3 linked regions of the Sus scrofa genome follow. Each later gene encodes a partner of the first gene's protein in a complex. Links are inferred from orthologs where the notes say so. Each region holds a gene or a part of one and is shown in the gene's direction. Other genes may lie near its edges. The genes, in order: MED4, MED12 and MED18.

Region 1 (2,934 bases):
ATTTTTTTCTCATTTATTAATGTGTCATTTTCCTCCGGCATTAGACTTCTCAGTAACTAAGCCCTAAACTTAGCTTTTTAAAATGAAACATGCTTTATAAACAGAGTAAGATGTATGTTCAGTTTAAAGAATACCAAGTGAACACTCTTATGAATAACCCTCAAATTAACAAAGTGAATAACAAAGCTTTTTATGGACTTTTTTGTAACTAAATAGAATGTCATTTTTGTGAGACTCATACTGAGCTTCACCCTTCCTCAGGCTTCACATACAGGTTTGTACTGTTGTTATATTTTACGTTCCCTATCTTTCTTTTTTTTTTTGGCGACTTGTTTTATTTTTGACCTGGCAGAATATTTTTAAAGTTTTTTTTAAAACCATGAAAAAATTGCTTTTTTGAGCAATTACTTTTAGTATTTTACATATTTCGTTTATTCCCGTTTTTTGTTTGTTATTTCTTTTAGGGCCACACCTGTGGCATATGGAGTTTCCCAGGGGTCTAGCGGCTGGTCCACACGCACAGATCTGAGCTGTGTCTGTGACCTACACCACAGCTTATGGCAATGCCAGATCCTTAACCTGCTGAGCAAGGCCAGGGAACGAACAAGCAACCTCATGGTTCCTAGTTGGATTCGTTTCCACTGTGCCATGACGGGAACTCCCCCCTGTATTTTTAACGTTGTTATAAATGCTCTAGATAATGCATGACATTTCATTGTAAGGCTGTCCCTCTGTTACTAAAAATGCTTTTTATAAGCACCATTTTTGTTAATTATTCAAGGTGTAAACTGAGAACTCATTGGGCATTAGTTTCCCTTGGAATCACATTTTTCATTGTGACTATACCGTATCATATGACATAAGCCACTCACAATCCAGGCAGGAGGCAGAAACCACACTAGCAATATGAACAAGGAGAATTTAAAGAATTACTGACTAGTAACAATACACTAACTACTGGATGGTAAAGAGAACTGTATTTTTTTGGTCTGTTTTTAGGGCTGCATTTGGAGCATTTAGCAGCATATGGAGGTTCCCAGGCTAGGGGTTGAATCTGAGCTGTAGCTGCTGGCCTATACCACAGCCGTACCAGATCTGAGCTGAGTCTGCGACCTACACCACAGCTCACAGCAACACTGAATCCTTAACCCACTGAGTGAGGCCAGGGATTGAACCTGTATCCTCATGGATACTAGTCAGATTCGTTTTCTCTGGGCCATGACGGGAACTCCAAGAACTGTATTTTTCAAATGCAGTAATAATAGATACAGGGCCCCTTTTTTAGTATAGTACATATATTAGCTGTTTATATCACGAGGGAATATATGGAGAGTAGTATATATGACCTATTATATGTGCTTAAATATATACAGACATATGAAATATTTGGAAATTGTGAATGTCTTGTAAAAGGAAAATTAATGGCAGTTGACTATGAATAGTGGCTATAGTAAAGTGTGATTTAAAAAAAAATAAACAGATTGTGGTTACTAAAACATCACATTTTTCCTTGATATATTTGATCTTTCATTAATTTGGTCAAATGTGTATTTAGACTTCAGCCTTAAAAATTTACTTCATTTTATTTGCATGAAGGAAAGAGTAACTAAGAAGTAAATTGAGTTGAAATGTTCTCACATGGGCTTTCTTTTCTTCAGATGTTCTTGCCCCCCAGTATCCGTGGCAGTCAAATGATATGGCAATGAATATGTTACCACCAAATCACAGTAATGACTTTTTGTTGGAGCCTCCAGGGCACAATAAAGAAAATGAAGATGACGTAGAGGTCATGTCAACAGACTCCTCAAGCAGTAGCAGTGACTCTGATTAAAGAAAATGTGACAAAAAAAGCATACAGAATTGAATATTATAGAAATCGGCTTCTTAAACAGCAGCAAACCTTTAAAAGCCAGGTGATACTGTAGTGAAAGTGTGCCATCGTTAAAAATTATTGTGGACTTTTTGAAGCCAAAAATCATGGTTTCGTTTCTGAACCACTAGGGGAATAGAGAAAAACAAAATTTACCGTTGGAATAAAAAGATTAGTCAGTTCAGTGCCATCTTAGTTGGAGTTGTACATAGTAGTTCTGGAAATAAGATTTGAGGGACATGACCCATGTACATCACTAATAGACCTCTTGTTATTATGAAAAGCGTAAACAAAAGGCAGTAGATCGCTGAAAATGCAACATAGCTCAGAGTAACAGAAAACTCATTTGAAAGTGAAGGCTGTTAGCTTTTGTCACAGGAGAACTTGCCTCAATTTGTACTGTTTGTAATTACTGTATTTTTTGTAAATAAATACACTTGTTTGGAATTTTACCACTGTATCTCAAATCAAATTGTTGTGTACATGCTTACCTGGTTATCTGTACATCTTTATAACCACTCATCCAAAACCCTTGGGTCTCAATGTTTCCTAGAATTTGGGTTTTAAAAAATACTCTGGGAGTTCCTGTTGTGGCTCAGTGGAAAGGAATCTAACTAGGAACTATGAAGTTGCGGGTTTGATCCCTGGCTTCATTCAGTGGGTTAAGCATCTGGTGGTGTTGTGAGTTGTGGTGTAGGTTGCAGTTGCAGCTCAGATCTGACATTGCTGTGGTATAGGCCAATGGCTACAGCTCTGATTAGACCCATAGCTGGGAACTTCCACATGCAGCCCTAAAAAGCAAAAAAAAAAAAAAACTCTGGAAAGTTAACAGGAGATATATATATCGTATGTTATATAATGAAGAGTCATCTTATAAATTAAGCACATTTAACTTTCATATTCAGGTATATTTCACATACACATTATTTTTTTTTCCTGTCTGCTCTGGCATAGGGAAGTTCCCAGGCTAGGGGTCAAATTGGAGCTGCAGCTGAGGCCTACACCACAGCCACAGCAACACTGGATCTGAGCCGTTATCTGCAACTTACACCACAGCTTACAGA
Region 2 (3,655 bases), on another chromosome or scaffold:
AGGAGTAAGACGTGAGAGCAGTGTCTCTTGGAAAGAACTGGGGGGTTTTGATCGTCATGTCTTCACAGTACTCCGGGGAATTTGTTCAGTCTGCATACCTCTCCCGCCGCCTTGCCTACTTCTGTACCCGGAGACTGGCCCTGCAGCTGGATGGTGTGAGCAGTCACTCGTCTCATGTGATGTCTGCTCAGTCAACAAGCACACTACCCACCACCCCTGCTCCTCAGCCCCCAACTAGCAGCACACCCTCTACACCCTTTAGTGACCTGCTTATGTGTCCTCAGCACCGACCCCTGGTTTTTGGCCTCAGCTGTATCCTTCAGGTAGGTACTCGGTGGGCCTATGGAAGTATTAAGAGACCTCTTGAGAAGAATTAGGTGCCTGTCCTGGAAAATAGGGGGATTCTAAATTGGAGGTGAGAGTAGGCACTGAGTACTTGCTTGGAAATTGTTGGCTGCTCATTCATGGGGCGATAGTTCCTTTTCAGGTAGTTCCCTTCCAGGTCTACATAGTAGGCCCAAAGCCTTTGGAGGAGAGTGGATGAGGGGAGGGGCTCAGAGATGGAGTGATGCCACCCTAGGGACTCAGAATAACTTTGGATTGGAAATCGAAGCATTGGGTCTTATGATGGGCTTCTGGAAAGGTAGCCATGGTAACCGAGTTTGACTTAGCTGTTCCTGTCTGGCAGACCATCCTCCTGTGTTGTCCTAGTGCCCTGGTTTGGCACTACTCGCTGACTGATAGCCGAATCAAGACTGGCTCACCACTCGATCACCTGCCTATTGCCCCCTCCAACCTGCCCATGCCAGAGGGCAACAGTGCCTTCACTCAGCAGGTAAGTTGGACCAGTAGCCTGCTTACCGCAGGTTTGGATATAGAGGCTGAAGTTACTCTTTCAGAACTAGTGACTTGGAGCCTACTACTATGCTTTTAGCCTGGAGCCCTAGCCTTTTTGTATGCTTTGCTCCATCCTTAAAACCTTCCTTTTGGCAGGTCCGTGCAAAGTTGCGGGAGATCGAGCAGCAGATCAAGGAGCGAGGACAGGCCGTTGAGGTTCGCTGGTCTTTTGATAAGTGCCAGGAAGCTACTGCAGGTGGGTGCCAGAGGACAGGCAGTAAGAAGGGTGTTTGAGGAAAGGGTGGGGATGGTAATGACATATAGATCTGAGAGTCAGAGTAAGCCTCTGGTTAAGTCCCCTTTACCGCTTTTCCTCTTTAGGCTTCACCATTGGACGGGTGCTCCATACTTTGGAAGTGCTGGACAGCCATAGTTTTGAGCGCTCTGACTTCAGCAACTCTCTTGACTCCCTCTGTAACCGAATTTTTGGATTGGGGCCCAGCAAGGATGGACACGAGGTAATAAGCAAGACGGGGAAGAGGAGGGAAAAACAGCAAGAGCACCAGTACATTTGACGGGAAGGAGGGGTGAGGCACTAAAACTAGAGGATGTCTGAAGAGACAGATGGTCTTACTGGGCCTAGAATGTTTTAAGATGGGGCCCAATCGCTGGGAAATTGGAACTCAGTTTTTTGTCCCCAACTCTGCCTTACTCACCTCCGTCTTCCTTTGGTCTCCAGATCTCCTCAGATGATGATGCTGTGGTATCATTACTGTGTGAATGGGCTGTCAGCTGCAAGCGTTCTGGTCGGCATCGCGCTATGGTGGTAGCCAAGCTGCTGGAGAAGAGACAGGCAGAGATCGAGGCTGAGGTTAGGGGGCCCGGCAGGGAGTGGCAGCTGGGCCTGGAGCCAGATTGAGCTGATAGTGGGACCAATGTTGAAGGTGTGAGAGTAAGAAGTGGTTAGAGAACGTACAGGGAAAGTGGAGGACATGAGGCAAAAATAGAAATGAGTGGATCAGTGTCAGAGTTAGAGAAGTGATCAAGGCTGCAGTTGGAGGCGCTAAAGAAAATAGGAGTCAAGGAGTTCTCATCGTGGCTCAGTGCTAAGGCACCCGACTCGTGTCCATGAGGACTTGGGTTCCATCCCTGGCCTCACTCAGTGGGTTAAGAATCTGGCGTTGCCGTGAGCTGTGGTGTGGGTCACAGACACGGCTTGGATCCTGCGTTGCTGTGGCTGTGGTGTGGGCTGGCGGCTACAGCTCCGATTAGATGCCTAGCCTGGAAACCTCCATATGCCACAGGTGTAGCCCTAAAAAGACTAAAAACAAAGAAAGAAAAGAAAATGGGAGTCAACAGGGGGACGTGGAGATAGGCAGTTGTTCAAGGATTGTACGTGGATGAGTGAAGAAACAGATAAAACCCAGCCCTATGGTTTGTCCTCTCATTTTATAGCGTTGTGGAGAATCAGAAGCCGCAGATGAGAAGGGTTCCATTGCCTCTGGCTCCCTTTCTGCACCCAGTGCTCCCATTTTCCAGGATGTCCTCCTGCAGTTTCTGGACACACAGGCTCCCATGCTGAGTATGGACCCCTGCTACTTTCTGGTTACCTCTGCCTAGACTCCCTTACCCACCCCTGTCATCAGAAAGCATAATGAAAGGCCTTCTGAGATATAATCTTAGCTTGAGCTCTATGCAGAATGTCTTTGGACATAATTCTAGTCTTTGATCATCTTACAGTTTAACAGAGTAGAGAAATAAAGAGTAGAATAAAAACAAGTGCTTAGGATCGGAGCGTTTTCATGTATAAATAGCAGAAATGCTGTGTTCCTTTATTAGATGGGGGGGCAGGAGGTAGGATAACCAAGCATACTTTGTCCCTCAACAGTTTGGGGGGCGTTGGGGGGTTTTGAGTCATTCCTATTCCTGCCTATTTCAGGTACCCTAGGAGCATCTTACCTTAGATGTGTCCCTCTCGCTTTCTGCCCATGTCTTCCATGCTCCCTTACTCATCTTTTCTCATTCCCTCCCTCCAGCGGACCCCCGAAGTGAGAGTGAGCGGGTGGAATTCTTTAACTTGGTACTGCTCTTCTGTGAACTGATTCGACACGATGTTTTCTCCCACAACATGTACACTTGCACCCTCATCTCCCGAGGGGACCTTGCCTTTGGAGCCCCTGGTCCCCGGCCTCCCTCTCCCTTTGATGACCCTGCTGATGACCCTGAGCGCAAGGAGGCTGAGGGCAGCAGCAGCAGCAAGCTGGAGGTGAGCTGGCTTTTCCTCACCCTAGATTGTTTCTTCCTGTACAGTCCCCTCTTCCTGGCTCCTGAAGTAATCTGAGGATCCTTTACCCAGTGATGAGGGTAGGATTTGCTTAGCGCTTCATAGTTTATTTACCAAGCACTCTCACATCATTTTATTATTATTATTATTATTATTTGATCCTCACAACTGCCTCGTTGAGGTATTGTTATCATTTTTTTGTCTTTTTTTTTTTTAGGGCCACACCCAAAGCATACGGAGGTTCCCAGGCTAGGGGTCAAATCAGAGCTACAGCTGCTGGCCTAGGCCACAGCCACAGCACCACGGGATCCAAGCTGCGTCTGTGACCTACACCACAGCTCATGGCAACACTGGATCCTTAACCCACCAAGCAAGGCCAGGGATCGAACCTGCATCCTTATGGATACTAGCTGGGTTTGTTACTGCTGAGCTACAACGGGAACTCCTGTTATTCTCATTTTAAAGCTGAATGAGTAAATCAACTGTAATGGAAAAAATAAAAATCATAAAATAAAAAAAGTAAAATAACGCTAA
Region 3 (3,755 bases), on another chromosome or scaffold:
TTTTTAAGTTTAAAAATGTAAATGAGTAAGACAGTATAAATTACAGCAGGGGAAACTGGAATTATAAATGACTGTATAGGAGTTCCCATCATGGCTCAGCAGAAATGAATCTAACTAGTACCCATGAGGATGCAGGTTCCATCCCCAGCCCCAGTCAGTGAGTTAAGGATCCAACATTGCCATGAACTGTGGTGTAGTTGCAGACTTGGCTTCGATCTGGCACAGCTGTGGCTGTAGCGTAGGCCAGGGGCTACAGCTCCGATTCAACCCTGGCCTGGGAACTTCTATATGCCTTGCTCGGTGAGTTGGGGGTCCAGGATTGCCATGAGCTGTGGTGTAGGTCACAGATGCGGCTCAGATCGCACATTGCTGTGGCTGTGGCATAGGTCAGCACCTGAAGCTCTGATTCAACCCCTAACCTGGGAACTTTCATATGCCAGGGTGCAGCCCTAAAAAGAAAAAAAAAAAAAAGATGTGTAGCAATTAAGAGGGTGGGTTCTGAAATCAGGCAGCTGCTTAAATTTGTACCCCAGTCTAAACTCCCTGGTGTGTTATTTCTTGATGCCTAAGTTTCTCCATTAGTAAAATTAAGTAATAATTATACTTGGGTTACAGGGCTGCTGTGAAGATCAAAAATTCCAATATTTTGTTCATTAAGGATTTTTTTTCCACATTAAATTCGTAAAAGATTGCATTACAATTTTTTGAATTGTTAGGAGTTTTGGTGCCCCTTAAATTTTTCGCTCCAGGGAGTGCCTCAACCACCATACTCTAGCTCCATTCTTTGCATTTTACATGCTTGACACACAAGCAACATTCAATAAATGAGCTGAATTTACTTATCTCCCAAAATTTTTGAATTGAGGTAAAATAAACACAGAAGAGTGAACAAATATCAAATGTATTGCTGAGTTCCCTAATTGTTCAGAACAGTCTGCTAAACAGTAAAAGATGTCTTTCCTTCTTATCTTCAGGTACTCAACCAAAAGAAGTTTTGGTTTTATGATCTCTTTTTTTCTTCAGCTCTCTTCCCCCGGCTCTCTTTTCCCCCTGTAAGTTCCAAAAGAATTCCTTGACAAAAACAACTCCAGGCCGTCACACTTGAAAAAAGGAAAATATTTTCCGGGAGGACTGCCTTTGATGTCAAGGTCCCCCTCACGCCCCGAGGAACGCGCTCAGGAAGGCCGCCCTCTTCCACGCAGAATCGCAGTTTGCGCATGCGCTTCTACTTGCCAGGCCGCAGAGATGATTTTTATGCCTTCCCGGCACCCTTACGTCGCAGAATGGTGATGTCAAGATTTGCGCGACGGAGACTTTTTGCCGGAAGTGGAGGGGAGAAAGTGTTGCACTCCACCGGGGGGTGGGGGTCTTCAAGTTCAGTGCTGGGGGCTAATTATCGCTAAAAAGCTCCGAGGTGCTCTGGTGGCTTCAGTTCCCTGCTTTGCCAGAAAAGGCTAGAACACGCGCGGAGGTGTGTTTTTGGTGTGAGTAGGCACGCGTCGATGGTGGGGTAGGAGGACCTCAATCGTCAGAAGAACTTCGCACTTCTGTCTGGCTCGCTTTCAAAGGCGTTTTGAACGCCTAGATTTTTGTCTGGTTTATCTCTGCCATGGACTTGCTCTGTATCCTTCCCTCCAACCCCCACCCAAAGTGTCAGTATCCTCATCTCCAAATTGAAGGGGAGTCACCTCTCAGTTCTATTATTTCACGGCTATTGTGTCATCTGAGCCACAAAGCCTTGGGGGTTAAATGTCGACCTCATTTTATAAGGAAGACATTGAATCCCAGGGTCAGCGGTTTGATGGCTTATTGCACAGGAAATTCTGAAACTGAAGGTTTCAGACCTTGAGACTGAAAGATTATAACTCCATGATCAGGCCTCCTTTGTGTATTTCTGTATCATCAATTCCTGAAACTGACTTATGGAAGTTGTTCAAAAAGTTCTGGATGAATGAATGAATCTTTTGATGTTAAGGCTAATGACCCAGGTAGATCTGGTGTCTCTCCATCTCTCTGATGTATTAACAAGCATAACTCTTTTCCAGGTGTGTCCTGTGCTTTATTTGACTGGGACTCTGAATCCGGTTCTGTTGCTTTCAACTTAAACAGATAGCATGGAGGCACCTCCAGTCACTATGATGCCTGTCACCGGGGGCACCATTAACATGATGGAGTACCTGCTGCAGGGTAAGTGAACTAGGGAGCTTAGATTACCTGATTTCCTCTTTTCTGTTCAGGTTCCATGGAGATGAAAGGCTAATATACAAAGGCTACATAATTTCTGGCACCTCTTTTTTTTTTTTTTTTCAATTTGGCTTTAATTATGGTCACAAACATATAGCATTAAACATTTTGAGCATAACATTTAGTAGTGTTAAATATGTTTGCATTGTTGTATAGCCAATCTCTAGAACTTTTTCATCTTGCAAAACTGAAACTCTGTACTCATTCTTCCTTTCCCCTCCCCCCAGCCCTTGGCAACAACTTTTCTACTTTCTTTTTTTTTTTTTCTTTTTTTATTTTCTTTTCTGCTGAACCTACGGCATATAGAAGTTCCCAGGCCAGGGATCGAACCCACACCACAGGAGCAGCTCTGGCAGCTACAATGACAACACAGGATGAGTAACCCACTGCACCACAGGAGAATTCCAAACCTTTCTACTTTCTGTTTCTAATTTTGACTACGTTAGATAACTTTATATGAGTGGAATCATATGGTATCTGTCTTTTTATGACTGGTTTATTTCACTTAGTATAATGTCCTCAGCGTTTACCCGTGTTATCACACGAGACAGGATCTCCTTTCTAAAGGCTGAATAATGTTCTATAGTATGTATATACCACATTTTCTTTATCTGTTCTTCTGTTGTTGGACATTCAGGTTGCTTCCACCTCTTGGTTAACATGGATAATGCAGTGAACATGTGTATGCAAATATCTCTTCCAAGATCCTGCTTTGAATTCTTTTGGTTAAATATCCAGAAGTGAAATTAATGGATCATATGATAATTTTATGATACTATTATTAATTCTTGTAGATCAGGAAATAGAATTGAAGTAACTTGCCCAGATGAGAAAGCTCAAAACTCAGTGTAATGATTTTCAGGAGGCCTTATAATGTTTCGCAAAAAAGTTTAGACTTTGAATTATCCATTTAAGAACTTAATATGGAAGTTCCCGTCATGGTGCAGTGGTTAATGAATCCGACTAGGAACCATGAGGTTGCAGGTTCGATCCCTGGCCTTGCTCAGCGGGTTAAGGATCTGGCGTCACCATGAGCTGTGGTGTAGGTTGCAGACACGGCTTGGATCCCACCGTTGCTGTGGCTCTGGCGTAGGCCGGCGGCTACAGCTCCTAGATTAGACCCCTAGCCTGGGAACTTCCATATGCTGGGGAGAGGCCCTAGAAAAGACAAAAAAAAAAAAAAAACTTAATATGAACGAAGTAGGGTTATTAACTTTCATTCTTCCAGCTGTCCCTCCTTCAGTCTTTTCCATCTTAGTAAGTGCCTGTCATTCACCAGTTGCTCAAGCTATGAATTCAGGAATCAATCTCCATTTTTTCACTTTATTCTCACCTATAGCTTATCTCTAGTTCTGTTTATTTTACTTCCAAAATATATATTAAATATGTCTTTTCTCCACATGCAATGGCTTGGTTTATCATCCTTTGAACTATTTTAGTAATTTTGTGCTTATTGCATTGCTTCCACTTTTGATCATCTGTCTCTTCTCACACAATAGTTCAACATCTTT

The links.
Region 2: MED4 (region 1) and MED12 share a complex: the UniProt entries of both Homo sapiens proteins name them as parts of the mediator complex. The link is inferred for Sus scrofa from reciprocal best matches to the Homo sapiens genes MED4 and MED12.
Region 3: MED4 (region 1) and MED18 share a complex: the UniProt entries of both Homo sapiens proteins name them as parts of the mediator complex. The link is inferred for Sus scrofa from reciprocal best matches to the Homo sapiens genes MED4 and MED18.

Annotation. Positions count from the first base shown.
Region 1 is NC_010453.5:19,564,594-19,567,527, forward strand, and holds the end of MED4 (mediator of RNA polymerase II transcription subunit 4), read left to right. Parts: intron 1-1,658; coding exon 1,659-1,831; 3' UTR 1,832-2,322; downstream 2,323-2,934. UniProt on the Homo sapiens protein: Component of the Mediator complex, a coactivator involved in the regulated transcription of nearly all RNA polymerase II-dependent genes.
Region 2 is NC_010461.5:57,153,746-57,157,400, forward strand, and holds part of MED12 (mediator of RNA polymerase II transcription subunit 12), read left to right. Parts: intron 1-68; coding exon 69-323; intron 324-688; coding exon 689-835; intron 836-993; coding exon 994-1,093; intron 1,094-1,218; coding exon 1,219-1,355; intron 1,356-1,576; coding exon 1,577-1,708; intron 1,709-2,292; coding exon 2,293-2,419; intron 2,420-2,873; coding exon 2,874-3,103; intron 3,104-3,655. UniProt on the Homo sapiens protein: Component of the Mediator complex, a coactivator involved in the regulated transcription of nearly all RNA polymerase II-dependent genes.
Region 3 is NC_010448.4:85,382,802-85,386,556, forward strand, and holds the start of MED18 (mediator of RNA polymerase II transcription subunit 18), read left to right. Parts: upstream 1-1,283; 5' UTR 1,284-1,484; intron 1,485-2,045; 5' UTR 2,046-2,114; coding exon 2,115-2,187; intron 2,188-3,755. UniProt on the Homo sapiens protein: Component of the Mediator complex, a coactivator involved in the regulated transcription of nearly all RNA polymerase II-dependent genes.